Linked DNA regions of Oryza sativa Japonica Group. The protein of the gene in region 6 interacts with the protein of the main gene of each other region in a pairwise test. Links are inferred from orthologs where the notes say so. Each region holds a gene or a part of one and is shown on either strand. Other genes may lie near its edges.

Region 1 (5,198 bases), on a different chromosome or scaffold from region 6:
ATATGCCAAAAATTTCATTTGAATTGGAATCATTCAAATTTCCTTCAATCCAAATGAGCTATTTGGACTACATTTATCTACGTATGAAGTGAAACACGGTGACCGATCGGTTAGCCGGTAATTCTGGTACTATTTCTGGGGTAAGAATGAACTTATGGTGCAAAAACACAGTATCCCAATAGCACTTTCTCCTTGGACATGTCTTTCTCTTCGATAATATGGAAGAAGTGATCTCTCAAGTCTCAACCTACCACAGGGTCACAGCCTCACAGGGGATCAGATTTTCAGAGAAGCATAACAGAACGAAAACACAAATCAATCCGGACTCCACAATCGTAGAACTGCAGTGGTGATTGAGTAGATCTTTTTGTGGACTATTCCCTCCGTCCCAAAAAAACAAGGCAAACCCTGAGTTTCTGTGTCCAACTTTAACTGTCCGTCTTATATGAAATTTTTTTATAATTCGTATTTTCATTGTTGTTAGATGATAAAACATGATTAATATTTTATGTGTGACTTGTCTTTTTAATTTTTTTATAATTTTTTCAAATAAGACGGACGATCAAACGTTGGGCACGGAAACCAGGGTTTGTCTTTTTTTTTGGACCGAGGGAGTATGTCTCATTGGCTCGGGAGTAATTGAGAGCGACCTGCATTTGCATGGACATATTAGCTAGCATGCGGATGCGGTGTTCCTCAGACAAGAACAGAATACTGAAAGCCTGAAAACCGTGCAATTGTGACGCTCTGTTTCTGTTATTCTTTCTGAACCGTTTTCCGGAAAACCAGAGCTGTATACACGAAGTCACGAACCTTATGAAGAGAAAGCTAAGACTGTACTTCGACGCACAACTCATGGCTTCGAAGTCCAAACTCAACACTACAAGCCAGTAAGTTTAACTACTACACATGCACGGCACGATTTACACCTCTGAAAAAGAGGGGGAAAAAAAAGAAACTGACGAATTTACACTTCGGCGACGAACTGTACGGAAGAAAGAGCGTACGCTCCCGCCTAGTTGATGCCGAGGAACTCGCTCATGGAGAGCAGGTCGCAGAGCCCTCCTCCTCCCTGCATGTGATCGGCCGCGTCGTCGAAGTCCCAGCAGAAGCCGCCGTCGCCCAGCCCGTGCAGGGAGTCCACGGCGCCGCCGCACGGGACGTCGACCTGCACCGACGACGAGCCCTGGTAGCTCAGGCCCGGCGCCGTCCCGGCGAGGCTAGTCCCGTAGTCCATGTCGAACCAGTCGGCGAACATGACCTTGGGGATCACGGGCGCGTGCGGCCGGACGGCGGCGAGCCCCGCCGCGGGCTCGGTGAGGCTGCTCGAGTCGTCGGCCGACGACGACTCGACCGGCCCGGAAGACTCGGAGCTCGCCGGCCGGTCAGCGGCGACGCGTTCTTGGCCGGTCTCGCTGCGGTTCGGGCTGCCGGTGACGACGTCGGCCGGCTCGGCGGATTTTCTGGCCGCAGCCTCCGCGCCTTCGACTCGCTTCTTGAGGTACGAGTTCCAGTAGTTCTTCACCTCGTTGTCCGTCCGGCCAGGCAGATGCCGCGCTATCTGTGACCACCTGCAACCACAAATTTCCATCACCATGTTAGATAAAAGTCCTAGTTTCAAACAAAAAAAGTTAGATAAAAGTATTTCTTATCTAGTATAACTTATAATCGCCTTCTTAATCTTTTTTTTTTCGAATTACTATTGCACAGTCAGTCTAATAAAGGATCTTTTATTGTCATAGTAGTACCACACGTTGATCTTTTCTAGGTTTCGTCAAAGCAGAGGTTTCCATAATTCTCAGTGAACTGTGATTAGTCTGATTGTAGTACAGCAGTTGCCGTACGTCCATGTTCATAAATGAGATTGTACAGACTGTTGGTGTCTAAGGACGGTGTTAAGATTTCTGACGATGGAACCAGGACTAAAGAAGAGTGCAAAAATAGCTGGCAACTTGCATTTGCACCAGTAAGCAACCACATCACCTCCAGAAAATGCGTTAGTATTTTTCTCAAGAGGGGGAGAGAGGAATCAGACACTGATTTTTCCCCCATTTCTTTTATGCTAAGAAAAGGTTAACCGTGACTAAGCACGCCTTTCAGCAAATAAATTAATCAGAGGAAGATGGTTGTTCACAATCATCAAATGTGCACCGGAAAAAAGAAGCAATTGATTGCCTCAATATGGAACGTAGATGTCAGCATCAACTACACCACTCAAAAGCGGTCTAGATGGCCAAAATCAGCATTTCCTTTTGTTCTTACTTAACCAGGCCCTTTTCCACTCTGAAACTGAATTTGCCGAGCTGACACTAGCAAAGTGCAGTAGTAGTAAAAGAAAAAAAAAGAGTAAAAAGGCAGAAGGTAGGATGTCCAAAATTACTCTCTGTTGGAGTAATTACTTTGCTAAATTAATTAGCGTTACTTGACAGCAATCTCCTGGCTCTAAAGGTAAGGTGAAAAGTGTGACACTTACTTGTTGCCCATTGTAGCGTGCAGGTTCATGACGGTTTCTTCTTCCTCTCGGGAAAACATGCCGTGCTTCAGCCCCGGCCTCAGGTAATTGATCCATCTCAGCCTGCAACTCTTGCCGTTACGCTGCAGCCCTGCATGAAAGGCAAATTCAGAAGAGAATTCAGCTCACCAGACAAGGTACATTTGACGAAAAAACACAAAAGCTCAAACAGGCTTCATCTATCGTCCTGAAGCTGAACAACACTTTGCAAATAGTAGGAAACAAAAAAAATCCCTTCTCCCCTTCCCTTAAATCAAGGTGCATTTGAAAAAAAAAAGAAAAAAACGAGAGCAGCAACAAGCAAACAGGGGGGTTTTGAAGCAGGACACAGGTGCAATGCATTCAGGCGTACAGCAGTTGCAAAATTCGCGGTGAATTCCCCGGCGAAATCGTCGCAGGCGGAGCTCGGAACCGTGGTCTTACCGGCCTTCACGGGGACGGCGCTCCAGCAGCCGTGGCCGTAGCGGAGGATGAAGTCGCGGAGCTTCTGGTCCTCCTCCGGCGACCACAGGCCCTTCCGGTAGTGCACCTTGGGCTTCTGGCACGCCTTGCACCCCATCAATGGCGGACGAGAAGAGAGCAAGAGGAGACTCTAGAGTCTAGACTCTAGAGAGACAATGCCAAACCGCGAGCAGCACGAGGGGAAAAGAAAGCAGAAGAAGACTTTGGCTTGGTAAGGAGGAGGAGGAGGCGGCTTGCTTGGACGGCCGTGATTGCTTTGCGGCCTGCACTGTTGTGTCGGTCTGCGTTGGCGTGAGAGATGGGCGCAGGGGCTTTATAGGCCTCGCCCAATCATCACCGTTGGCCCTGTGGCCCCTCACGGGAATAAGCAAGTGGTTAGGTCGCCGATTGTTTTTCCTTCTTTTAGTTCCGAGGAAAAAATAAATGGTTTTTTTTATCTGTCCGACCAAAACCATATATGTACATGGCACTAGTATCATTACATCGGACGGAGTACATACCTTCGCTTTCTGTAATTCTCAGAGGCTGCAGTAGTCTGAAAGCAGATGCAATTTTTAGCGAAATAAAATTACAAGGTTTGGCACTTGCAAGAGACAAGAGTAAACCCCGTGATAATGTCTGTTTATGCGGCGGAAACCAGACGGGAAATCGAAAGGCATTTTAATTTGTTCGCCACTAGTGTGCCTGCCACTGCCACCACAGGTGTCCACGCCACCGGCGGTCCGCATGCGTGCTCACGTAGTCACTCATCACTCGGGCTGCTGTTGCTACGCATTGGCGCCTTGGCGTGCTGCCACCGCTGTTCAAGGCACACGTTCGTGTCACCAGTCGCCGCTGCATATTGACACATGTTGTGCCCTTTGCTGTTCGGTGCCATCGTTTTGTGCACATTCACGCCCAAAAGATGGAATGGTGTGCTTACGTTCTGGCATCCCTGAAGACTGAAGTCGATGGATGAGGTGCTTGCTGTACTGCTGCTGAAACGAAAAACCTTAAAAGGACTTAGATCATCAATATATGTGAATATGTGTTATAATAGGGGCTGATCGGTAGTGCTGACTACAATTACGCCGCAGCAGTGTCGAATCAGAGTTGTCTGGCTGGAGCACAAGTGCTGATCATGGCCACTAAATTTTAATATGCGAAGACAACAGTTGATTTGTCATTAAAAATATTTTCATGTAGTAATAATTTATAATTTTTTATCAATGTATTGCAATAAAAGATAAAAATCAAACTTATATATTGAGGGCTCTATCGATATCCTAATTAAACATCAAATAAAGTATATCCGTATATGTTAAACGCAATGTTAAAAATAAAAGTAAATTTCAGAAATCTTCCAGACTATCAATATGTTGCAACTTCAGCAAAGCATTTCAATGAACTACAATAATAGCATAAGATTTTATTGAAAGCTGCAATTTTATAGCTCTAACAAGATATTAGACTCACTTGTTATACACATAGGAGTAATGCATATTGTGTTATGAGATACTTGTATTGTTGCAAATCGGGATCACATGTCATACACACTATGGGATAAAATTATGGTTTTATAATAAAACCGTTCGTTGTTGCAGTTGTTGCAATTATATGAAATATCTAGTTAAAGATGTAGTAAAGCGATATAATTGATCAAATAATGGCAGTTTTATGAATTTACTCTAAAAATAAATAGGGGTAGTATGACTTTCCCTCCACTTGTGTCGGTCTAGTGTGTTGAGTTGAAATGAATAATACATGAGTATTTTATTTACTGAATTTGTAAAGGCAGTCCTTTATCATAATGATAGTACTCTCTTTTTCAAAATATGGCGCATTGTTTACTTCCTTTATCATATTAAAAAAATTAGAAGTACACGCCTACCCTGCAAAATTCTCATTATGTACGACGTTACGTTATTTTGTTGTGAAGCTTGATTTCAACTGCAGTTTTCTGGCGACTTTAATAATATTGAATCGTTCAATTTTAAGACGTCAAACTGCCAGTTCGAAGAGTTACGGACCAAATATTTTAATCCCAGCAGGAAGAAATAAATTGCTTGTGACGGAAAGCTACAGAAACTATACGTGCATATGTCCTCCCATTTACACGTACACACATATAATGCAGAAAGAAAAGGTAAGATCAAGTAGTTTATACACCGGACCGCCATCGTTGAATCAGACCATAATATATACTCTGTACGTTTATTCCCATTTCATCGCTATATATTTTCCG
Region 2 (5,335 bases), about 7.6 Mb from region 6:
CTTGATTACCATAAATACTGTGTCAAGCGACATTTTTGCACAAGGGCCATCGAAAATGTGGTAAAGACCAAGCATGCCTTAATCAAGCTTACCTGATAGCAAAAAAAAAAAAAAAAAAAGGATTTTGTGCTTTAGTGACTGCATACCTCTGGATTATCAAGACGACTGAGCTCATGGCCATCAGGCAGGCTCCCAGATATGTACTGCCAACCAAGAATATCACTTTCCAGATCAGCATCCAATAGCACATCCCAAAAATACTTCATACCCCAAGTCCATGGGATAAGTAGAAATTTCACAGCAAAACTTGAAATGATAACTCTTATCCGATTATGTGTCCATCCGGTAGCCCAAAGTTCCCTCATGCCAGCATCTACCAATGGGTATCCTGTCATTCCCTGCCTCCAGGACTTGAACCGCTCCTCATCTACTTTCCAAGGGTAGTGTTTCAAGTTCCCCAGCAATGACTTTTCATGTGTGAATGGGAAGTTAAAACACAAGTACCGTGAATATTCTCGAAGACCAATTGACCGCATGAAGAAGTGAATGCTCTCCTCAGCTTCAGATGTTCCCTCATTTTCCCACTTGATTTGTTGCATCCTTACAAGTTGATATACTTTTCTTACACTCACCTCACCAAAATGAAGATATGGTGATAGCAATGATGTAGTAGCTCCCTCAACCTTCATTCCATGTTTTGAGTATTCTAGGAGACCATGGGAGACAAATTCTTCAAGCATCTTTTCTGCATTGCGCCAACCAGGAGACCAGGCCCTCATTAGCAAAGCATTACTTGATTCCTCATCCTTGCTTGATTCAAGTCCTAGGTCATCAACAGAACAGCTACGAACACTCTCCAAACCTGAATGTCAAACTGAAAAATTGTTAAGCATTAAAGTAGCTGTATCTTGACAAACTAGACATTGACTCATTGAGTGTAAAGGTTGAAGGGCATCAATTACTAAATCTGTAAATATAAAACGAGTAATGCTTGCAAGTAAATAACTTCTCGAAAAAAGGTAAACAACTTAATCTAGAGATAATTCTGTAAGTACAGACAAATTAAAAACATAGAAAATCTTCAAAAATAAAAAAGATAAATAATGGTAGGCCACTAGCCACGATCTACCTGGGACAGGCACCAATTTCCAAGGTGCAAGTGACGGTGATGCGTCAATAGGTAATTCCATGCACTTCTCCCAGTACATGTTAAAGGTTGTAAATGCAAGTCCACTATCATCATAAATTTCCCATGGCTCATACAGCAGATCACCATTAAAACTCTGGATGGAAATTCCCAGTGCCGAAAGCTCTTTTTTTATTTTGTCATCACGCACAAGAGAAACAGGGTCTAAAATTTAGAAGAGTGAGAACAAATAAGATTAAACCAGCATATCTGAAAAGAGTAATTTTAAAACAAAACTGCTAGTGGAATGGAACAATAGAGAACACAGCTGTACTCCGTACCAACTTTAGAGGTACACGTTTCTGAAGTCTGAACTAGAAAACCCAAAGTTGTTTATTTCATATCAATATTGTACTAGCTCAAATGGAAAAGGCCGTCTCATTTTGCAATGTCAAACCTTTGAGTTTGATTTTCCCCTCTGATGTGACAGTTTATAGTATTTGGTATTTGATATTTGAAGAGTGGAACTATGACAAATAAGACCATAAGCTATAGTTGGTTCAAGTTAGCCCCTAAAGATTTATTTGGCACTTTATTATGTAGTACTACCTCCGTTTCAGGTTATAAGATTTTCTAACATTGCCCACATTCATATAGATATTAATGAATCTAGGCACACATATATATCTAGATTTATTAACATATATATGAATGTGGGCAATGCTAGAAAGTCTTATAATATGAAACGGAGGAAGTATTTATGTTAATCATACTTGGCCTAGTTTCTATTTTCATGCGCATATGCTTTTTGCCTTATTCTTTTCGAAAGCTATTGTTATGAATTTTTGATAGGAAAAACTACTGCCAGATTACTACATATAATGCAATTTTAATTGTTTAGAGATAGTTTCCTTCTTCCTATATATGAATTTGAATATTTTTTATATTTGTGGGGAAAATGTGTATTAGTGATGTTTGTAGCACATATCATGTCAATACCAACTAAATGAACTGACTTATGATACATAACCATGGATAAATTGAGAGAACTTTCTACTGTATTTACATTTAGAACAGCATGTAAGCAACTGGCATGATCTATGATTTTAATCCATTTTCTTAAAAAAAAAAGATCTATGATGTTGTTTACAAGGCTTCACTCGGAATAGCTTTTGATCAAATGTTACATAACTTATTAAGTTGAGCCTTTTGACAACATAAAAGTACATGATGTAGCTGGCTAAGACTTTCAAAGTCGTCATGGTCAGATTTCTTCGCATCCAAAGTGTAAAGAAAAAAAAATATTTTCACAAAGAAATAGAATAACACAACATATAAGAAACTCCATTGATGCAGGAAACGCCATGAGAAAGTAGCCATACCATACAGATGATTATAAACCAATCTGGTGGCGCCGACAGAATCAATGCACCGCAGAAGAGCCTCAAGGGTACTCTCGGCTCGGATCAGCACGAGCGGGCACCCGAGCGACTCCAGTGACTGGCTGAGGTGGGGGAGCGACTGCTTGAGCCACCACCTGGAGCACCGGCCGGGATAGAACTGCCCTTCATCCGCAGGGCACCATATGAAGACAGGGAGCACAGCGCCGTCCCTCGCCGCGGAGGCCAACGCCGGGTTGTCGTCGATCCTGAGGTCCCTCCTGAACCAAACCACGGTCCTCTCCGAACCGGCCATGCCCAGGGACCAAATCCCACCACCCCCAAGCACTCAATCCACCATGACCAGACCAAGCAGGCAAGCACAGCTACCACCCCTCCCAACTCACAGCGAGCGAATTCCCCTCACAGGCATTCCGTCGAGCACGTCCCGTGCAAGAAAGAAACCACTCCGCCCGGGCCAAAGGACAAGAAGCACGGATCTTGATGGCCGCCTCGGACCAGAAACCCCTGCAAGGAGGAGGAAGAAGAAGAAGATGAGCACGGTCACTAGTAAATTAATTAAGACCCCAGTACGCGACAGGATACTCAGATCGTGGAAGCGCGCAAGCGGCCAAGATCGAGGGTGGGCGCACCAACGCCGAATCGCAGCCTGTGGCCAGGAGCGCAGGATCACGAGCTCAGCAGCATGGGCGGGGCCTGGGCTTCCTCCGGGGCGTGTACGGTAGCGGAGCCCCACCCGATCATGGCGAATTGGCGAGCGAGCGACTTATCGCCGTCTGCCTCTCCTTGTGCTCCTCTTCCCCTCCACCACTTGAGAGAAGAAGCAGCGCACACGCACGCATACGCACCCCCCCCCCCCCCAAATCCCAATTAAATACTAGTATAACAAGATCTCACGCCACGCTGCGCCACGGGGACCAATCGGGATTTGCGAAATGATACGGTCGATTTAGTTTTTAGCGACTTTTCATCGCTAGCTCAGCTCCACCGGCCGGAGCTTCCACCGATCGACCGGTGCGATTTCGCTGCGACCACGGGGGAGTCGGGGACCAGCGACGTGATATACTCCTTTAAACTACTACTCCTACTACCCCGTACTACAACTAGGCCACAAGCTCACCACCGCCGCCAGCGCCGTCCCGATGCAGTGGATTTCAGTTCACTTCCCAAGCCAGTTGCCCCAGTTGCGAGCTGCATCAAAGCAGATTTTCCTCGTCTACGCTACTCTGGCACAGTGATTACACATCGGGGTGGGCTGGTGGTCGAAGGCGCCAACTTTAACAGCCAAATCCCAGTCACTGTTGCACTCGCTTCGGGACCCCCCATACGTGGCTCCCATGGAACACTGCGTCGGACTGACGACTGGTGACTGGCCACGGCCGGAGATCGAACGATCGGTGAGGCCATGAGCAGCAATGATCAGTGGAGATGCTGGATAGGAGTAGGCCATGCCGCTGCCCATGCACTGCACGGCCGCACGCGAAGCGCGCGCAATTACGCGACCCAGGCTGTAACCAAAGTTGGGGTTTTATCCCGAAAGGATGCGTTCAGTGAACCGGGGCCGGTCGCCTTTTCATCTCCCGTCCCCGTCGCCGTCGTCTCCTCGATCGTCTGGGCCCATCGGGAGGGCCTAGATCTTTCCATTGAGAGCTTCGACGGCGGCCTTATCTCATCTCAAATCTCATCTTCAACTGTAGCAATGATGCTTCCGGTCTCTCTCACCCACCCGCATGCTTTCTTTCTCCTTCACGAGAAAAAAAAAAATGGCCCGCTCAGGTAACTCCGATGATACCCTCTATAGTCTCTATGTACATAGGAAGAAAGTGCTGGTTTAGTTCTACCCACAATCTCTTGATCTCCTTGACAGCTACAACCAGGTAGGGAACATGGTTAGGCCGCCCGGACACTTCGTGACGACTCACACAGCCTGAAAAAAAAAATACCCGAACGGGTAAAAACGATTTTTCAGTGATAGAAATACCGAGCAATAAATCAAAACATTAAGATTGTTATACATCATAATTAAAAATATTAATGAAAATTTTTCTTGGTTTTGGACCGAAAAGCTTTCCTTCCTTGCTTTTCATCCTTAGCCAAAAAGTTACCGTACAACATAACTGCAGTAACGCGATTTTCTTCCCCTCGCCCCCGCGTCGCCCTCCCTCACAGGCGACACGGGAGGCAAAAACAGCCGGCGTCGCCGCTCCCCCCTTCCTCCCTCTGCCGCCTCGCCGCCGCCCGACCGGCCGCCGGCAAAGCCGCGCGGCCGCAAGGACGGCGGCGGCGGGGCTTCGTCGCCTTCGTCTGCCTCTCCCGTCGGCGGTGGGGGCCTGCGCGAGACAGCGAAGGCCGCCTGTAACGCCCCGATTTCCGCGTGGCGTTAAAAGCTAATGCACCGAAAACCCTAATTGCGAAAATTTTGATTCTTTGAGTGCTGAGTCTAAGTTGTGCCAAAGATCTCAATTAAAATCCCTCCCCTGTCTCAATACCCTGTTATCAAAGATCGTCTCCTTAAAATTTTCCATCCAATATAATCCCGAAGCTCGATTCCTTCTATTCGGAAATCCCTCCTGGAACCCTATCCCTAATCTTTGTCGAATGCCCGAACCCTAACCCAGTCCAATGATTCACCTCCGAGACCTAAATTCTCCCTTGTTTCCTTCAAACCGACTCTCGAATTCGAGCTTAACCTCTCAATTTCATCTCTCCCTCTCTCTACCTTCCCTTGACTCTCTTTCGAATAATTGATCTCAACTCCCACATTTATAATCTCCCTCTACCTATTGCTTCGTCATTCGTTGAAACCATT
Region 3 (5,139 bases), on a different chromosome or scaffold from region 6:
TTTGACTGCAATGTTAATCTAAAGCTTTATTTTGAATATATCACTGACACCTCAGATAAGAGGTAATGCCCACTTGCCCAGGTCCAATAAATAGCATTTCAGAAACTTACTCGTAGGTTGGACGAACTGATTCTAAACAAATACCTTGATAAGTACAATACCATTGAAGCCAATTCTGCCACCTAAAAGCTAACAACATAATAATTGTCTAATATAAAATGCACAGGTACATCTTATGTCACAGTCAACCTAAACAAAGTATTGATCTTTTCCCAACATTGTACATCTCAGGGTACACCAAATATATTCATTTACGGAGTTAGTGATCTTGCTTAGCTGCAGATGGAACTCCCTATCTTGCAAACCTCATCGTCCACTCCGCAGCTATTTCATCATGCTTAGTTCTATCAGTCAAGTATAAATGTCCAATGCTCGGCACAAGTGGGCAGTCTGCACGGAAAAAACAATCATAATATGAAGTTATCAAGATGAAATGAAGCAAAAATTATGTGTATATTACATAGTTTAAACAGGACTGCATGTTTTATCATGGAAGATAGTGCAGAAACAGAACAATTGTGATCATACTGTAACTTGGAACTTACATGGATCTGGGTTTGTTATGATGGCTTTAATGGCAAGTAGCACCTTTGAAATAGTTAAAGCAGGACTCCATCCTTCCCTTAAAATGTCCATACTCAAGTTACCAGTGGAGTCAACATTGCAGTGATAAATCCTTGTCTTGAAAGTTACCTAGCACAGTGACAGAACAGTTATAACTTGTAACCACGAATTGAGGTCCCCTAATACCGAAATATCGGATAAAATTACAGCAGTGGATCTCAATTGTTTCATACTTCTATATAAACATTGAAATTGCTGTTCCTTCAATATTGAAATTTTAGCATGTTCAACTGGAAGAGTGTATTACCTTCCATATTATTAATTACTGAAACATCAAATCAAGCCACAATTGCCAGCCCATGTGTATTTCCTCTGTATTATGAGTGTGCTATCCACTCTACAAAAACTTGAGAAATTCACTTACTATTGCCAAATTATATGGAGTGTAGCATTAGCAGAATTAATATGATTGCCATGTTGGACTGTATTGATGTTTGCATGGTTCCATGTGCTGGTTAAGGTAAAAGGTAGACCACTGCAGGGCTGTGTGTTAGGTCAAATCAGTCCTAGCATTGCCCTAGGCTTCCAGCACTGCTATCTAGAGAATGGGGGAGAATTCCAGATGCTCCATCAAATACTGAAGAGCAGAAATGGAGGTTGGTTGTTCGGATCCTTCATATCCTACCTCCCATCAAGGAATTATAAGTTGATGGTAATAGCTGGGCAAAGACAGTAACAGTCTTACTGTCTTAGCAACCAACAAACCATGAAGCAGGTGATCATGTAGGGCTGTGTAGGCTACAGCCAGCAGGTGTATACTGATTAGTCAATGTCAACACTAAATGGACCAAAAATCTGCATTTAGAAGGCTCATTTTTTTACCAGACTACTATGCAAATAGTATATTGACATAGGATGAAGGTGATGCCCAAGCACATTAGGCTTCCAATGGACAAAACCTTTCTCTGTAAAATTTTAACACAGCACTATCAACCAAAACAGGGGATGTCTAGGAAAACAACATTTTAGAAACTCTGCGCAGTTATTTTCTTGAACACTAAGCATAAAACAGACTTCAGATAAGTTTTCTTCATAAATAATCAAGATCATATTGAAAAGAGGTAAATGGTGCTTACCTTAAAAAGAACGCAGGTCGCTTTAATTAATAACAAAATAAACTAGCTTTAACATAATCTCTTTTGTTATCTATGCCCTTCTAATCATCACACTGTTTGCTGAGTTAGCCCTTGAACAGAAGCATTCCTTGTCCCCAAAAAGATTCATGAGATATTCCATTTTAGGATGAATCTTAATCCTTGCAGACAACTCGACACATTTTCAAACCCCTTCCAGGCTAAAATGCATAGATCATACACTTATTTTGAAGAAACTAAAAGAAGTCCGGTGAAGGTAGACTTTTGAAACAAAATACCCTATGCATTTACTAAACATACCAATGTTCATCACTTTTGTAATACCCTGTTCACATAGTGAAGTAGAACTAGCTATACAACAATATTATCCCAACCAATTATCCATCCTATTTGAATTTCTATTCCACTTCTTCAAGATTTTAGACATGCGCATGTCTCTTAAAAACATTTCTTTGGATGCAAGCATTTCCCATGTTACCTTAACCACACTTCCACGCGGTAAATCAATAGTCGTCTATCAATAGTTACTGAAGGGAATGCCATATTTATTCTAGATATTTGTTCCAATAACAGCGATATGATCACTCATGAATCACAGCATTAGGTAGAATGCACACAGACAAGGAGAGAAAATGTCAAGTTACAACTTAAGCTTCTATATGATCTCGTAGAAAGCCAGACACCTCATAACCAACAGCCCATTTAAGCAAACAGAAAAAAAAAAAAGAAGCTAATTCTTAGTTCTTACCATGGGAGGTTTAAACGGATAGTCAATTGGGAATACAATATCGAGGAAAAATATCCCTCCTTCATACGGAGATCCTACAAGATGAGCACTGCATTAGATCAGCAAAGTGAAGGTGGTCATAAGACTAGTTCACTCTACACTCCACACCCTAATTCCAAACTTGAAAAAAAAAAAACCGCGATTTCAACTAGTGAAATTCGCAGAGCCGCAGTAAAATTCGCACGAGCTTTATCGGCTGCTGCTAGCAGGGGGGAGTAAGCGGAGAGGGGGAAGGGCGATGATACCCTGAGGTCCGATGATGGTGGAGAGCCAGTGGTAGAGGTTGTCGCCCTTAGGGCCGGCGGAGCAGTCGGAGGCGTTGAGGTCCATCAGCTCCTTCTGAATCCGCTTCCCCGACGACGACACCGACGTGCCGCCGCTGGAGCCCCAGGGGCGCACGCCGCTCCATCTTCCACCCCCACCTCCGCCGCCGGAGCCCCCTCCTCCTCCTCCTCCGCCCCCGCTGGTGCCGGCGCCGGCGCCGGCGGGGAAAGGGGAGCGAGAGGTCGGGAAGGAGGAGGAAGACGACGACATGGCCTCGACGGCTGGCTTACGACTTGGCCTTGGGGGTGAGGGGGAGCGGCGCCGCCGGCGGTGGTGGGGGGATGGAGAGCGACGCCGGAGTGGGGGGAGAGCGGCGGAGAGGGGAAAGGTTAGAGGGAGTGACGGGACGATGAGGGGAGGTGCGAATTTATTTATTTATTTTTCATAATTGTTGTGATGTTCAGTGTAAAATACTACTCCCTCCATTTCACAACATAAGTCATTCTAGCATTTCTCATATTCATATTGATGTCTGTTTCACAATATAAGTCATTCTAGCATTTCTCACATTCACATTGTGAAACGGAGGTGAAACGGAGGAAGTAATTGCATTTCAATATAAATTACTCTATCCATCTTAAAAACCAAACTAGAGGAGAATTTGCAACATATGTTCAGAAATTTTATGTGGAGTTAAATCGCCACCTACAGTGGTTTTTTTAGACGGGAGTACAAAATATGAAAACTAAAATTTGAGAGAAACTGATTTGAGACGTGCTTTTATTCTGCGTGACAGCCTGATAGCTCCACATATACTCTTATAAATCCATTTTTGCTGTTCCAGTATTGCCAGTAATAATGGGCCAAAAGCGACCAAGTACTCAAATTTTAAACTGACCACACATAAATCCAACCCTGAAAAACCATAAATAAATTTCGGTGCCATGTAACTGTAACATATGGACTGCTTTAGAACGTAGAAATTTTTATGTAGGACTTAATTCTTCATTGTACAAACCAGGCCAGACATTTTTGCATCTGCTACATGAGACCAAAAAAAAAACTTAACAAACATGTAGTACTCAACAAGAGTATAAATTTAGAAGAAAAAAAATATTAGTGAGTCTGAGAGAAAAACACTGTTACTCAACAAGAGTGACAGTTTCAGTACTGAAGCGATATGCAGGGAGCACAAAACACTTTTTGAGTCATACAAACATTTCAGAAAAGAAGGTTTCCACAATTCAATACTCCCAGCCTGGCATTCAAAATTGATGTATTTGACTCCTTTCTCTAGGTCAACGAATTTTGAGAAACACATGCCATCTAACCTCAATACATCTAAGACAAATATGGCCTCCTACACTCCTACTGACAAGATCCACAATAAATTTCGGGCATCTCATCCAAAACGCATCATTTTTTTACAGGGTTTTACATGAACACCATGATAGACAGCAATGTAATTAGGTGAGTCAACCAGCACGAGTGAATTTGTGTAGCAAAATTGTCTGGGCTTACGGGCCCAGACGCCGCACCACCGTTGCTGCCATTGGAGCCAGTGCTGCAAGAAGAACCAACACTGCATCAGGACGTAGAGCCAAAAAAAAAATGTAGAACCGTTAGCACAAAAATATCGAGAAAGGACTCACCTTCCTGCAAAAATGCATGAACCATGGCCTGCATATTTTGATCCAGGGAAATTGTATTAGGCTCATCAAACAGGGAAAATAAGTAATCACCCGGTCCAATCTAACAGTAAATATTCTTGATCTCTTTGAACACACTAAAAAAACTTCAGGATGCCTTCTATAAGAAAATGCATGAAACTTCAGGATGTGATCATGCATTTAACTAGTGGTAAACACATTTTATATTAGCATGATCAGATATCTAAAGTCTAAGGTTTCTTCAAATTTTCTCGCTTACCATTCCTATGTAATCAGAGGTCCATGTCAGACATACACAAACTCAAACATGTTCAATTATAACCTTGTTTGCAGCTCCAAGGTGTTTACTGGCGTTCAATGGCATCTAAGTCATATTAAGAATAGGCAAACAAAGTCCCAATGAATGAGCCAATCAGTTCTTTTGCATGCACTTGTTACATTTAGTTTCGCTTGGATCAGAACAGTTTGTAATAGCTGCCATGCTGCATACCAGGAACAGGAAGACACCGTAGAAATCATGTAGTCATGTGGATACTATTATAGCATGCGACAGGATAAGCCCCTATAAGTTTCACAGATCTTAAGCAAGTTTCCATGTAACCAGTAAAATATTGGGCTGGTTAACTAATAATCTAACCAA
Region 4 (5,243 bases), on a different chromosome or scaffold from region 6:
GGAAAACGACTACGCTTTTAAAATAGTAGAGATATATTTATAAAATTCTCAGTGGAAAATTAAATACAATTATAAGAGCTATAGCTTTTTTTTTAGGACCCTAAAAGTTATTTAGATTTTTATCTGTCATGTGTTTTCGTTTAAAGCAAATTAACTACTGTATGCACAAAGAACGACGACAGAGAGGCGGATATCCCTCGCACTGTTGGACAATGTCTGTCCATGGAGGCACTAAATTACTAGCAACAAGCTGGGAATCTTTTCGCTCCCCTCTCTCGTCGAATCTTTCATCGATCTCGCTTCCATTTCATGCGCCAACTCTGCCTGATCTGCCAGCACTAACACATCGTTAAAAAAAACAAAAAAAAACCAGAGAAAAGAAAAAAATTACTCCGACTGCATTGCAACCGTGTTCTTCGCGACAAGACACGTTTCTCGCGGCAAAGGACGACTGCAAAGACTCGTTTCTTCTCGTCGTCCCCCCATGTGCCATCTCGACGCCAATCATGCATGCTTCCATGCATGCACTGATCGATATGCTGCGACGCCAGCAATTTTTTATTTACGCACACAACTTGCACGGCTTCACATGCACTGTGCCACAGCAGCAACAAACCTATGCCCAGAGTTCAAGGAAGAGAGAGAAAAGACGTGTAGTAGTAGCACAGACATTACATCGAAGCATGCACTGCAGGAAGAAGGAAATGTGTCCACAACACAGTGGAGCAAAAGTACTGAATCTGCTGGCCTGTGCCACACAGTAATCAAGTTTCCACAGTAGTTGAGAGAGTACACTATACTGAAGAGAGAGAGAGAAAATACAACAGCAAGAGAGAGAGAGAGAGAGAGATTATCTCTATCATGATATCCATCGATCGATCCCATGTCACAGTGACATACAACACACTGCAGGCTGTAACACGAACGCAAACGCTATACTAGCAGCTGCACTGGCACGTGCATGCGACCGTGACACGGGACACACTTCTTTCCTTTGTTTTTTTTTTTTAACCACAACAATTAAACGCGCCATGCATCACGTACGTACGGTAGAATCCAATCAAAGAACAGTAAAAAAAACAACACACCTTGGTTTAATTAATCCATCCTTAATCTTGCCGTGCCCAGCTGCTGCCTTCCCCTCCTCTTTAATCGATCAGTTTAATTTACATCATGGTTACCTTCCCTTGTGAGCCGATCAACCCTGCTTCCATGCTGCCGCCATGATCCTGACCAGCATTAATACTATTACTTGTGGTTGATGTGTTCATCAGCAGCTGCTTGATCTCGTCGTAGTTGTACACCAGCTGCTGCTGCTGTTCTTGTGCCTGATCCTGCTGATGATGATGCTGGAACAGCTTGTCGTTGTCGACCTGATCGATGCAGCTGCTGCCGTAGCCGACGCCATAGCTGTAGCCATCAAGGATGAACTCCCTGTTGCCATGGTGGTTGTGGCTGTGTGGCGCCGCCAGCCCATCTGACGAGCTGCAGCTCTGCTGGTCGGAGCCGAACACGATCATGTTGCTGCTGATCTCCTCCTTCACAAGCAGCTGATGATGATGTGATGCGCCGTGCAGATGGTTGAGCAGCGCAGAGGCGCTCACCATTGGAAGGCCAGAGTGAGTGCCCAGCATGAATTCCTGGGTGGTGGTCGGTAGGGTTAACGGCATAGCTGGTTCCTGAGGATGGAAGCCGCCGGCGCCGGAGAAGAAGCCTGGGTAGCCGCCGCCGGGATTGAGCGACGGCGAGTTCGGCAGGAGGAGAGACGACCGGTGGTGGCTCTGCTGATGACGCTGTATCCGTGGCGGCGCGGCGGCGGCGACGGCGCTCGAGCCGAGGAGCTTCTTCTTGAGCTTGGTGTTCCAGTAGTTTTTGATGTCGTTGTCCGTTCTGCCGGGGAGCTGCGACGCGATTATAGACCACCTAAAATGGATGACAAGTAGAAATGAGTGATTTGCATGCATTCTTCTTTTTTCCTTGTTTGTTAGGTTTTCTCATGTCATCTTTGTACTGTTCTACAAGACAAGACTTGGGGTAGGTAGCTATCTAGCTACTACAGATGCCAAAGTTTCTCAAATGTGTACTTGAAATTGTATCAGAGCATATATATAGTTAGGTATCTCTTCATTTGCTGATGATTAGACATACTCCTACCTACATATTACTAGTAAATAATTATAACTTCTAAGGATTCTTCTAGCTAGGGAGAAGAAACAGGTCATACTTATGCATGTTTGGGATGAAATTAAGTAGATCGAAATAAAAGGAAGGTTAAATGTACATCTTAATCTAGAAAACTCTATATATGCATTGTGATATATGTATATACCTGCTCCCAATACTGGCAAACATGTTGCAGATGATCCTGTCTTCATGCTCTGTGAACTCTCCATGCTTAATATTGGGCCTCAGGTAATTTAGCCATCTAAGCCTACAACTTTTGCCACATCTCCTCAATCCTATAATTATAGAATAAATAAGGTCAGAAATTCAGGACCAAATAGCTCAAATATTGCGTAAAAACTATAGGGGGATGAGAATTAATGATGTATAACTTATAAACAGCCAAATATTGCTCAGTGCTAGCATAAAATTAAATGTATGAAAAAGCTCCTATAAGGAAGATTCAACTAGGATTATAGGATCTTTTTTTCAAACAAACGAGTTCTAGGATCTTGATCTGCATTGCGTTTTTCTAACAAGCGGGGTAGTCACATCAAGACCTATAATTGCATGCGGCAGCCGGCAAGCCTGACATAACATTGTTTGTGTCTATGTCAGAGATCTATTACACTCTTGACCAGTTAACAAATTAAGGGATGTACGACTATTAGTGCTAAATAAACTATAGAACAAATTATCGTCTTAACAAAGTATCCGCGAAGAGAAAAATGATCGATGTAAAAAATTGGAAAAACCTTATACTTAATTAGCAGTAAATAAGATCTTTCAGACTTGAACATATATATTCATCTACAGAAGGGGACACAGAGAGAGAGAGAGAGAGAGAGAGAGAGAGAGGAGTTATATCCATAGAATACAACTGATTAAACTCTCAAAACAGACGAAGAAAACAAATCAATTAGTTCTACAAAGAAGAAAAGAAACCAGCTGCAAATTAAGGTGATCGAGCCTTATTTAGACATGAACTCATAAGGGGGAAAAAAATACAAAATCGCCAAAGGGCTAGCACAAGATCTCTGAAATTAAGTTGACATATATACCTGCTTTCTGAGGGAGAGCAATCCAATTGCCGCCGGTGCCATGCTTCTCTATGAACTCCTTGAGCTTGGCATCCTCCTCAGGCGACCAAGGTCCCTTCTTGACGTTGTTCTTGTCACAGCATGGAGCCCTCCCCATGAGTCCAATTGAGCAGAATTGGATTTTTGCCTCAACTCCAAGCTGCTAAAAGCAACAAGACACACGCACCAAACTACCAAATCCCACTGCTCCTAACCCTTTTCTTAATTTGTAGCTAGCTGCCGGGGCAGCAGCAGCTAAGCTAGAGCTCTCTCCTCTGTGCTATCTACTATCTAGCTAGAGGACATAGAGAGAGACAGAGAAACACTGCCTTTCAGGAGATATATTGGGACACAGAAAGCCAGGCACAGAGAAGAGAGCAGCACAAGCCAACAAACAGCAAACAGAAAAATATATAAGACCAGTGAGAGAGATGGAAGAGAGAGAGAGAGAGACTATAGTGAAGATGTTAACAAGTCAAAGTGTGTAGGCTTGTGTTTGTTTGGCTTCAATTAATCACCCTTCCAGGCTGCTGGTTGGCCCCTTCAAATCTAAGCACAGAGGGAAGAAAAGGTTGTTCAGAGCTTTTTCCATGGAGACTTGATAGCGTTACTACCAGAGTCATGATCACTGTTCCCTATAGACAAAGTACACTTGCACATGGAATCTTGCGTGCATGTTTGCAGGTAGTAGAGAGTCACGGATAAAGTAAATCACTAAGTACATTGGAAAATGGTTAAGCCTTTCTGATGGAAGATGCCATTTTTGTTCCGAGGAGACAAAAGTTAGGTGAATGATTAATTTCTCTTTCAAATTATTATTTTCAATTGTATAGTTATCTATGATTCCATATATAGTAATGACAATTATGAGAAACGAGAATAAAATAAATCAGAATTCTATTTAACATGACCTAGATCCGTTAGCCTTTTCTCTATTCTCTAGAGAGTTTTAGAATATTTTCTTTTTTGTTTTATGGCCAGAAATATAAACACTTGTACATTGTCTAAAAATTTAGGAATAACTATTTCCAAATTGTGTTTTAATTAAAGCTAGCTTTTGTTCATCCATTCAACCATATATGCGATTTTATGAATTTTGAGAGCGTTAATAATTTGCATAGTCATTTCGTTGCCAAAAAAGAATATAAGTCCATTGCTAAGTTAAATTATACATATATAGCAAGCAATTAAAATATGTTCACATTAATTAAGAATAAAACCAATCAATTATACGTGGACCCTAACGTACTGTTGCACCTTGAATGAGTTGTCCCATGGCAAATTGCCAATTAAATTACTGCAAAAAGAGAGTTTTACTACGCTGAAAGTCTATAGCTAGCCGGCCGGAGTCCTTTGATCAACAATAAGACCTGGCTATCCTATTATTGGCCAGGGACGCAGGGTAGGTGCCAACCTTTGAAATCACTGCCTCTCTTGTGTATTTTTTTCTTCCATGGAGGGCCGAATACATACATAACCGAAGCAACTTCTGATCACTAGACAAATGTTCTTTTAATAAGAGAACCTAGACAAATTAATGGCTTAATTTCTCTGCCTCTCGATTCAGTATTTCCGTCTAACAATTTCCAGTTTACAGGTGGCTATTCGGCAGAGAATTTGTACTAAGTTTTTAGCAAAATTATTCAGAATTTCAAGCTATTCATCAGGAGATCGATTTCGGAATTTAGGTGCCCCAAATGTTTATTTTTTGATTTCTCAAATATTTAACCCTTGGTCACGCGTATGACAGATTGACAAGTTCTAGCTCAACAACATGTAGGTGGAGGACTGAAAGCGATAGCTCGCCAGGTTCGTGTATTTGTCGTGTGTAAAAATAACATGCATCTTTGTACTAGGAAAGCTACAGACTGGAACTGGCCAAATATGAGGGCAGGCAAGCAGCAGCAAGCAGCTAGTAGCTAGCACGATGAGCAAGACGAGCAAGCAGGCAGCCACTGGAGCAGGTGCTAGATCGATGCAGCTGCTGAATGCAGCAGATTT
Region 5 (3,774 bases), on a different chromosome or scaffold from region 6:
AAGAAAAGCCCTGGCCCTCCTCGGGCCCAAAACGAGAGGGGCGTGGCGCGCTTGGCGCGAGGAGAGGGGTGTGGTGGTGCGGTTTGGCCAAGGAAGGAGCATCGGACGCGCCGCCTCTGCCTTTTCCTTTTCACATTTCCCCCTCCTTCCCTCCTGCCCTGCCTCCTCGGCCGGCGCGGCGCCCCATGTACGTGGCTCGACCGACGGCGATCGCCGGCCCTACCCCTACCGCCCGCGGCGCACGTCGCCTTCCGGCTCCGGGATTGTTAATTACCGTTTCGAGTGAGACACTTTTGCCCCGCGTCGCGTCGCGATTCTGCAGGGATTCATCTGTCCTGATCATCTATCCATTCATCTGTTCCCTTACCTAATTTCTCTGCACAGATCCAGCAGTTTGACAGCAAAGAGAAACAGAGGGATCATCGAGGAAAAAAAAAAGGGCTGGGCTACAAGCACATCCAGATCCAGGCTGGAGTAGGAGGCAGCTGAGCGAGTGTTGTTCCAGTGGTGCCTGCCAACGGAGGTGGCTGGCTCATGAACATTCACCCGTACAACCAGACAACCGTACAGCAAGTGCAGAAAAGAGGGACACCAAATTTCAATTTCAGGTACATCTGCTATTCTGCTTTGGGTCCTGTTTGTAAAGTTTAATATTCTGAGAAACAGCTGGAGAGAAGATAGGGAAGCTGAAAAACCCAGTTTCTAGCTTGTTTCTAGCTTTTAATTCATTTTTTGGATTCTGCAGCTACAGTTTCTCTCAAACTAAGTGAAAATTAGAACTGTTTTTTTTGGGAGGGGTGGGGGGAGAGCTTTTGGCAGTAGCTTCTTCTAGAAGAATCTTCAGCTGCCAGAAGCTCCCACAACCAGGCCCTTACTTCCTAGTTGCACTAGGCCTGTAAAGGTCCCATTTGAGTTACAGGCCCCATTTGAGTTCACTGAAGATTAGCGCATAATTAATAAAATTTTAATTATTTTAACTTAAAAGCAATCTCTATATAGATTTTTTTTTGTGCAAAAAACACGACGTTTAGCAGGTTTAGAAAACGTGCTAACGAAAACCAATGTGAAATCCGTACCTTAATCAAGAACAGGCCCTAAGTAAGAAAAGCTTTATTAGATTCTACTTTTCGAACTAGTGAGTAAAGTCAAACCATATTTTATTCATGTAGTAGTAACTTGAATGCTCTCAGCATCAAGATACAGCATATTACAGATTGGTGTTTTCACTTCCAATCTTAATGAGTTCAGGCGAGCAACAGCACGCATTTGCAACTTAGAAGATTACACATACTGACATTAGCATGGTGAAGAAGACGACAGTACATAACCAAATGTGCCATACGACCATTTATCTGTAAAGTCAACCATTTATCTGCAGCCAGTGAATCTTCAGTCTGCAAGTACGTCCAATCCTAAGCACAAGCCACCGTCGTGGCTATACGAACGAACTGCAGAAAACACAACTCTTTAGCAAAAGTATCACACTGGTACTTTGAAAAAGTGGAAGTTGTTCGCAAGAGAAATAAATATATGAAATCAATTGTTTGTAGTTTTATCTCTAAAATGGACAGCAATTTAGATAAATCATATTTGCTAGTCATCTGTACCAAGTGACAAAGTGTACAGATTAAGAGGATGTCATAAGCCAATGTATTTCAGAAATGGTAGAAAAATATGTTTGTAGCTAAAAAAAATCAGAATGGAAGAAGCGAAGCCTACAGGACATGGTGGTTCTATAGGCACTCTTGTAGCCGCTTAAATAGAGCACGAGTCAGGAAAAGACGCAGTTTCAGCAGTGGACTCGGGTTAACTTTAGTCCCTATATTTAGACACTAATTTAGAGTATTAAATATAGACTACTTACAAAACTAATTACATAAATGAAAGCTAATTCACGAGACAAATTTTTTAAGCCTAATTAATCCATAATTAGAGAATGTTTACTGTAGCATCACATAGGCTAATCATGGATTAATTAGGCTCAATAGATTCGTCTCGCGAATTAGTCCAAGATTATGGATGGGTTTTATTAATAGTCTACGTTTAATATTTATAATTAGTGTCCAAACATCCGATGTGATAGGGACTTGAAAGTTTTAGTCCCATCTAAACAGGGTCTCAAGCAAAACAAACTGAGCAGCCTAAACAGTCAATTAAGTAATTTCACATACCATTTCATGATTATTTTGCTGGAGCAGAAGCAAGTTCGACGCTGAGGATGAAGGTTGACATGCCAGCTTCCCTCATATGTCGGACATCGCCATTCATGAGCCTCAGCAGGTTTCTAGAAACCGCAAGACTCATGCCTTCATCCGACTGCTCCTTATTGTCATCCTCGTACATTTGTGACAGCAGATCTGCTGGGACTCCTTTGCCCTGGTGCTTGATCCTGAAAAACATTGATCCACAAGAGTTAATACACATCATTTTATACTTCAAGACTGTCTTAACAGAAAGAAGAGTAAGCGTGCAAATGTCATGACTAACATACCTAAGTTCTAGGTCTATGAGATGAAGGTTTTCCCCAATGCTGTTCTTGGTCAGGCTACAAGAGATCTCAACAGAACCCCCAACAGGAGAGAACTTCACTGAGACGAATAGGAAGTCAGAGAGAATCTGCTGTAGTCGAACACCATCCCCGTAGACTGTTTGCTTCATATATCTCTCCGGTAGGTTGCAAGAGACTCTAATCCCTTTTCCCTGGCAAGTTATGAGTACTTGACTTACAGCAGCCACAAACACATCTTGCAATACAAACTCAACCATCTCCAAATCCAAGCAACTAGACCTGTGAACACAGCAGCAGGAAATTAGTTTGAAGATAATAACTAATAATATATATATAAGGTTTGTACTGAGTAATGAGTAAAAAACCACTGGGACTTGGTGCAACAAATTCTTTCATTTTGAGAGAGCAAAATTGACCACTTGAAGATAATACAAACACATAAGACTATAAGAGCAACACCATCGACCTGTTAGGTCTGACAATTGATGAAGAACAAAGGTAGCTGAAAGTAAATACAAGAGCCTAAGAGAGTAACTTAGAATACTTGGTAAGAAAAGTACTTGTTCATGACGCTATCTTGATCCAAGTCAGAAAGTATTTTATTCAGCTGGCGGTGACAACTATCTGCAACATTGACCTCCTTCATCTGCTCTTCATTCAGACCTGTGTTCTTCAGTGCTTTCCTAGAGTAAAGCATACCTGAGAGAGGGTTGTTGATTGCATGTCTCATGTAGGAGTAAGCTTTCAACTTTGTTAGTGCATTCTGCTGTGAGGCTTGCTGCACATGTAGTGCATGTTGCAGCTCATGACTAGGAACTTGAATGAAACAAAATACTCCAGTGATGACACCATCTGCATTTACTTTTCTGTTAACAGAAAGAAGGCACTCGATATACTTCCCGTTCCGGTCGAAGAAGCTGAATGGAGCCTTTTCTGTTTCATCACCAGCTAATGCACTGTTGATAAGAATGCAGAGACTTACAAATGCATCTTTATTCTTCACAAGACAGGAGGCGTTGGTGCTATCAAACACCTCACCAAGAAGCATCTTATTGATCACCTCATCTCTATGCCACCCGGTCAATTTCGTCATGGCAGCATTCCACTCAGAGCACCATCCAAATTCGTCAGCACCAAATATGGGAGGAATAAGCGGGCTTGGATTGTGAATAATTGCTTTGTAGTCTCCCTCAACCCGAGTAAATTTGTCCATGACCAACTTATGAACAGTCATATCTTGTGCAACAAAGCACACACCAACAACA
Region 6 (5,102 bases):
TGATTCCCTATTCTCATGTAAGGTAGGCGACTGAAAAACATATGAGATTACAGATAGACATGGAAATGAAAATTATGCACCAAAAAAACAGGCACAAACTTATAGTCATATTTTGTTCCTTATAATACATGATAAACATCAGCATTCAAGATTAGTGGATTTGTTTGCTAATTGAACATAGTTGAAGTTTGACTCATAGGAGCAATAGACCATCCCCCCTCCAACCAAAACCTCTCCTCAGCTCACTGCTGGCTTGAGGATTCAGCTATGACAACATCCACATTGCCAATAGCATGTTGATGCACATGAAATAAGGCACATATTTTGTAAAAGCACTAACCTTGATACGATATTTGCAGAGTGAAACAGATCTCCATGTCTTAGCTCCGCAATTACACGCAAGCGACTGAAGCATAAATGACAGAGAACAAAAGAATGATAAGCCAAATGAATAGGCATAACCACTACCATGATCATAATGTGCTAAAAAGGACAAATAATCAGCGGACCTATATCGTGTGAATGTTGTTAGCACAGACTGGAAATCCTCAAGTCCTGCATGATAACCTTCTTTATTTATTGTTACTATGTCTCTTTCCTCCAGCCTACGTGATTGTGCTCCGGTACGCCGTCTTTGAAGATAGTATTCTTGAAGCTCGTTAAACTGCAATATGCCCCATAGCACATTAGCATTTCATCTTACATCAAAACAAAATAAACATATAAGTTCCTAATCTAAGCTGTCTACATGCTTGCAATATGATAGTACCAAACTATCAAGCGCGCAATGGGAGAAACAAACCTGAGCTTGAACTCGCCTCTTCCGAGCAATAACGTTGCCTGATTGAATAGGGGCACTAGGAGGATCCGAGCAAGTGAGAACATCTCTCCTTTGAAATCCTTGATGACTAATTTGACCTTTCAAGTCAAGCTTCTTATTCTGTAAACCCCCTGGATTTGATGTACTAAGTGGTCCCCGAGAGTTGGGAGGAAAGAGACCACTAGGTTTATCCATAGGTGAGGGCCACATCTTTGATGCAGCAGGTTCATCCAAAAGCATGCGGAGCTTCATTGAGTACCTTTCTTTTGTTCGATATAATTCTAACCTATGTCTCTCCACAGCACTTATATCTTCTTTGATGTACTGTAGGTCAGTTTGAATCTGTGTAAAAAAGAGGTTAACATGATTAACAACAATAGACATCAGTAAAAGATTATTTATTGTTGTAGGTAGCAAGAAAAAAAACCTGCATACTGAAAAATACATATAGACAAACCTCATTCAGCTCTTCCAACTTTTGCTTTCTGAGGCAATGCAAGAAGACCAGCAATATTTGCATATTTGTTTCTGACTCTTGCTGTTCCATATGCCGCTTCTTCTCCGCGATCAAAGTCATAAGACTATCTAGTTCTTTAACCGCCATATCGTTTCCCTAGAAAAAGAAAGAAGAATTAAACTAAAACATATGATAGTGTTTGGTCATCATTCATCTATTACTTATTTAGAGAACGTCAGTTTTATGTTTGAATTTTGAAACAGATATAAAGTCAGCAAGGTAGTGCAAATCTATCTTCTGTGGTATACTTGGTTTATCATATGGACAATCCTTGTAACAGTTAAGAGGACGATAGAGATCATGTGGCTGTAAGAGCGAAGGAACAAAAGATACTTTGATATCGGTCACAGTAGCTTAGATTCTACAATTGATGCAAGAGATAAGCATGTTCAGTGTAGAACTTAATTACTACTCTGTACTACTTAGTTCTGAACTGAAGATCACAAGCACAGCTAAGGTACGGAAGCAAAATTTTCACAGTACATAAAACCATTTAGGAACATACCACTATGTTTAAGGAGCTATTGAAAGTAGACATTTTCAAAAGTAAAACATGTGAAGTGACTGACCTGTTGCAGTGCATATCGAAATTGGTCTATCGGTGATGCTGTCTTCGCAATTTGGCGAGCTGACATTTTCTTCAAGACCTATGCAGACATAAATGTGATAAACATGCTTAGAGATACATTTATACAATCCCAGTATCAAGTAACCAGTAATTACAGCTTGTTTTAAGTTTTAACAGAACTAGAGAAGAACTCTAGTGATGAACAAATTATATAATAGGTACTGATAACCAGAGCAGACATAGAACTAATACTGTCCACTGCTGGTGATTCTAAACAAAACTTACATTAACAACAAACTGTAATGTACCGTGCAAGTCAAATAAAACTGAGCTATCCAATCAGAACACCTGCTACTACTTCAGAAGCTACCACAAACAGTAGTACAATAAATCGCAGCTCAAGCGCTGAATACTGTTGAATAGTTGCTACAAACGAATCGAAAGGCATACTGTTGAATAGTTGCTACATTTGTTAAAATTGGTTATACCGGATACCTATCCCAAGCCACATCCAAAGGTACATTCAGTGACATTTCAATTTTTTTTTTTTGCGGGGCAGTGACATTTCAATTACAAAGCCCTGCGTTTGAAATTAGGATAGGCATCCAAAATTCCCAATCGATCGGCGGAATATGGAAGCCACGGCCAATCCATTATCCATCTCGGCTGTGTAAGCAGAACGAGCAAGCAAACCTTGTCGAGGAGGAAGTTGGGGTAGAGCTGCGCCTTGGTGAGGTAGTTGCCGCAGCAGGGGCAGTCGCTCTTGTGGCTGAGATGCGTGACGATGCACATGTAGCAGAAGCTGTGGCCGCAGGCGGTGAGGAAGGCGTCCTTGATGACCGCCATGCAGATCGGGCAGAGGAGGTCCCTGTCGGCCGCGGCCTCCCCGTTGCCCCCCGCGGAGGCGCGCGCCCCCGCATCCTCCTCCCCCTCCCCCGCCACCGCCAACGCCGCCGTGGACGCGTCCCCCGACGGCGCCTGCTCCTGCTTCGGCACCGATGGCACCAGCGCGCCGGCCACCGTCGAGTCACCCATGCGGCAGGAGGAGGCCGCCCTGCGGTGGTGAGTCGAGCAGGCGGCGGCGGTGGAGGCGGCGACTGGGCGTGAATAATTGCATACGAGGGGTGGGTGGTGGTGGTGGTGGTGTGGTGTGTGTGGGAGGGAGGGGCGGGTGGAGGAGGAGGGAGGGGAATTGGGTTCTGTGTGTGGGCGTGGAAGCGGAAGGGTGTATGGGTGGGAGGAGACCACGTCGGGGTCGGGGTAGCCTCGCGCGCCGCGGCGCTGCGGGCAAATGTGCGTACGCGAGGAGGCACGCACACGACGACGGCAAACTCCGTCTCCGTTCCTCTCGAAGGAAAAAACGAAGTTTGCCGGTCTCCCAATGGAACGCGTGCTTTCGATTTGCGCATTTAATCCGAGTAGTTTGGTTTGCTTAATCCGTGCGAGGAATTTGGCAGGTCGGGACGGACGCGTCGCGAAGCGACCGGGGGAGTGGTTAGAGTCCCAATTGTCCTCATAAATGAAAACCAAAAATTAAAATTTCAAACTTGAGAATTTTAGGTCGCTAAAACATCTCTGTAAATTACTACTACCTTCATATTTTAATATATGACGCTGTTGACTTTTTATCTAACGTTTGATCATTCGTCTTATTCACAAAGTTTATGTAATTATCGTTTATTTTATTGTGACTTGATCCATCATCAAATGTTTTTTAAGCATGACATAAATATTTTCACATTATCACAAAAAATTTGAATAAAACGAATAGTCAAATATTGATAAAAAAAGTCAACGGCACCATACATTAAAATACAATACGGAGGGAGTACTTTAATTTAGGTAACCGATGAGTAACCTTAGTTTCAGACGTGCTGGGTCCGGTTGTTATGTGGGTTACAAAACAGCGCTGCATTGAACAAGTGGGTGTGGTGAAATGGATGTTCTGTTAGAAAATTCTTGTAAGAGAAGATCATGCGTGTTTCTGGGATCATTCTCCGTGTAAAAAATGCATCATCTCCATGGCCAAATTGGCCACTGGATGCTATCACTGACCCGGTGCGTGAGCCCGTGGCCACCACACGAATTCTGTACGGCTGTACCGTATTACAGGCAAGGGTTTATATTTCCAATCGAGGTCCCGCTCCTGACCCTGTCAGTATAACGGTTTTCACGAAAACCGTCAAATTTCAAACAAAATTAAGAAGCCAAATTCTCAAGTTCCATTTGCCCGTCAATGAAAAATGATCAAAATCACCGAATTCCAACCGGAACTACCAGGATTTCAGTTGATTCGAACAGGAAACCACCGTTCCAGTGTTTTGGAAACCAAACAAAAGCATCTAAAACTCATTGGATTTGCTGAAAAGCCAAAGAGTAGCGTGGGAATTAATTGTGTTTTCTGAATATTTGGATAATAGGGGAAAATGTTTGAAATATGAGAAAATTCATGGAGATGATAGGAACATTGCAAACTAAAAGGATATCAAAATGGGGAAACCGTGGAAACGTGGGAAAATGTAAGAAATTAATAAAGAAATTCAGCATGACCTTTCCTACAATTTGACAACCTCACATTGAGAATAAGCGCAATGTATATTCATGAACACAAATACAAGATAATTTGAAGTCCATATCATTGACAATTAAATATGCATAACCAAATATATGTTACGCCATTAACATCAACACGCATAATATAAAGTACATCAACACAATACAAAGTACACCCACAATCAATACATACTGTAAAGTGCATAAACAACATAGTATAACAACAATACAAAGTCCATAATATAAAGTGCATACACAATCAACACATATTGTAAACCCTTCTAGATGTCTTTTTTCAATTTACCAATTCAGTTGTTGTCCAAAGAGCATTTTCATTCTACGCCTATATTTTTTGACATTTCATATGCATGTATTTACTACAAATGTAGGACTATTTACAAGTTATTTTTAAAATATTCTTCATAAATTTTCAATTCAAATTTGAAAAATTCTGAAACGATTCAAAAATTCCAACAGAATTTGCTTTCGCGCTGCGTTGAAACGTCAGAGTTGTGAAGTGTGAACCCTAATCTATCTGATCAAAGCCTTCTTTTTTTTTGGATTGATTTCATCCAGGAGAGATGTCAGCTAGACAGAGACGATCACTGATCACGCGACAAGTTGCCATATCAGAGACCTCAGGC

What was found.
Region 1: the proteins of E3 ubiquitin-protein ligase COP1 (region 6) and transcription factor LAF1 interact in binary tests that used the Arabidopsis thaliana proteins (3 or more experiments, as listed by UniProt). The link is inferred for Oryza sativa Japonica Group from reciprocal best matches to the Arabidopsis thaliana genes COP1 and LAF1.
Region 2: the proteins of E3 ubiquitin-protein ligase COP1 (region 6) and cryptochrome-1 interact in binary tests that used the Arabidopsis thaliana proteins (3 or more experiments, as listed by UniProt). The link is inferred for Oryza sativa Japonica Group from reciprocal best matches to the Arabidopsis thaliana genes COP1 and CRY2.
Region 3: the proteins of E3 ubiquitin-protein ligase COP1 (region 6) and constitutive photomorphogenesis protein 10 interact in binary tests that used the Arabidopsis thaliana proteins (3 or more experiments, as listed by UniProt). The link is inferred for Oryza sativa Japonica Group from reciprocal best matches to the Arabidopsis thaliana genes COP1 and FUS9.
Region 4: the proteins of E3 ubiquitin-protein ligase COP1 (region 6) and transcription factor RAX2-like interact in binary tests that used the Arabidopsis thaliana proteins (3 or more experiments, as listed by UniProt). The link is inferred for Oryza sativa Japonica Group from reciprocal best matches to the Arabidopsis thaliana genes COP1 and RAX2.
Region 5: the proteins of E3 ubiquitin-protein ligase COP1 (region 6) and phytochrome A interact in a two-hybrid assay, tested with the Arabidopsis thaliana proteins (2 studies listed by BioGRID). The link is inferred for Oryza sativa Japonica Group from reciprocal best matches to the Arabidopsis thaliana genes COP1 and PHYA.

What each region holds. Positions count from the first base shown.
Region 1 is NC_089038.1:27,139,806-27,145,003, reverse strand, and holds transcription factor LAF1, read right to left. Parts: upstream 3,151-5,198; 5' UTR 3,072-3,150; coding exon 2,936-3,071; intron 2,604-2,935; coding exon 2,474-2,603; intron 1,572-2,473; coding exon 1,016-1,571; 3' UTR 716-1,015; downstream 1-715. UniProt on the Arabidopsis thaliana protein: Transcription factor that promotes photomorphogenesis in the light by participating in the transmission of phytochrome A (phyA) signals to downstream responses. Probably acts by activating expression of light-induced genes.
Region 2 is NC_089036.1:25,400,025-25,405,359, reverse strand, and holds the start of cryptochrome-1, read right to left. Parts: upstream 3,373-5,335; 5' UTR 3,112-3,372; intron 3,034-3,111; 5' UTR 2,822-3,033; coding exon 2,509-2,821; intron 1,352-2,508; coding exon 1,130-1,351; intron 863-1,129; coding exon 147-862; intron 1-146.
Region 3 is NC_089041.1:23,576,942-23,582,080, reverse strand, and holds constitutive photomorphogenesis protein 10, read right to left. Parts: upstream 3,221-5,139; 5' UTR 3,100-3,220; coding exon 2,811-3,099; intron 2,601-2,810; coding exon 2,527-2,600; intron 754-2,526; coding exon 606-753; intron 451-605; coding exon 353-450; 3' UTR 14-352; downstream 1-13. Other genes in the region: glucan endo-1,3-beta-glucosidase 4, read right to left, coding at 4,264-4,393, 4,482-4,509. UniProt on the Arabidopsis thaliana protein: Component of light signal transduction machinery. Involved in repression of photomorphogenesis in darkness by participating in the CDD complex, a complex probably required to regulate the activity of ubiquitin conjugating enzymes (E2s).
Region 4 is NC_089038.1:8,541,463-8,546,705, reverse strand, and holds transcription factor RAX2-like, read right to left. Parts: upstream 3,381-5,243; 5' UTR 3,361-3,380; coding exon 3,225-3,360; intron 2,460-3,224; coding exon 2,330-2,459; intron 1,924-2,329; coding exon 1,167-1,923; 3' UTR 733-1,166; downstream 1-732. UniProt on the Arabidopsis thaliana protein: Transcription activator. Positively regulates axillary meristems (AMs) formation and development, especially during inflorescence.
Region 5 is NC_089037.1:30,047,712-30,051,485, forward strand, and holds the end of phytochrome A, read right to left. Parts: coding exon 3,070-3,774; intron 2,789-3,069; coding exon 2,492-2,788; intron 2,390-2,491; coding exon 2,182-2,389; 3' UTR 2,172-2,181; intron 1,449-2,171; 3' UTR 1,091-1,448; downstream 1-1,090. UniProt on the Arabidopsis thaliana protein: Regulatory photoreceptor which exists in two forms that are reversibly interconvertible by light: the Pr form that absorbs maximally in the red region of the spectrum and the Pfr form that absorbs maximally in the far-red region.
Region 6 is NC_089036.1:33,025,705-33,030,806, forward strand, and holds the start of E3 ubiquitin-protein ligase COP1, read right to left. Parts: upstream 3,286-5,102; 5' UTR 2,941-3,285; coding exon 2,599-2,940; intron 1,985-2,598; coding exon 1,907-1,984; intron 1,434-1,906; coding exon 1,278-1,433; intron 1,163-1,277; coding exon 803-1,162; intron 665-802; coding exon 510-664; intron 407-509; coding exon 341-406; intron 1-340. UniProt on the Arabidopsis thaliana protein: E3 ubiquitin-protein ligase that acts as a repressor of photomorphogenesis and as an activator of etiolation in darkness.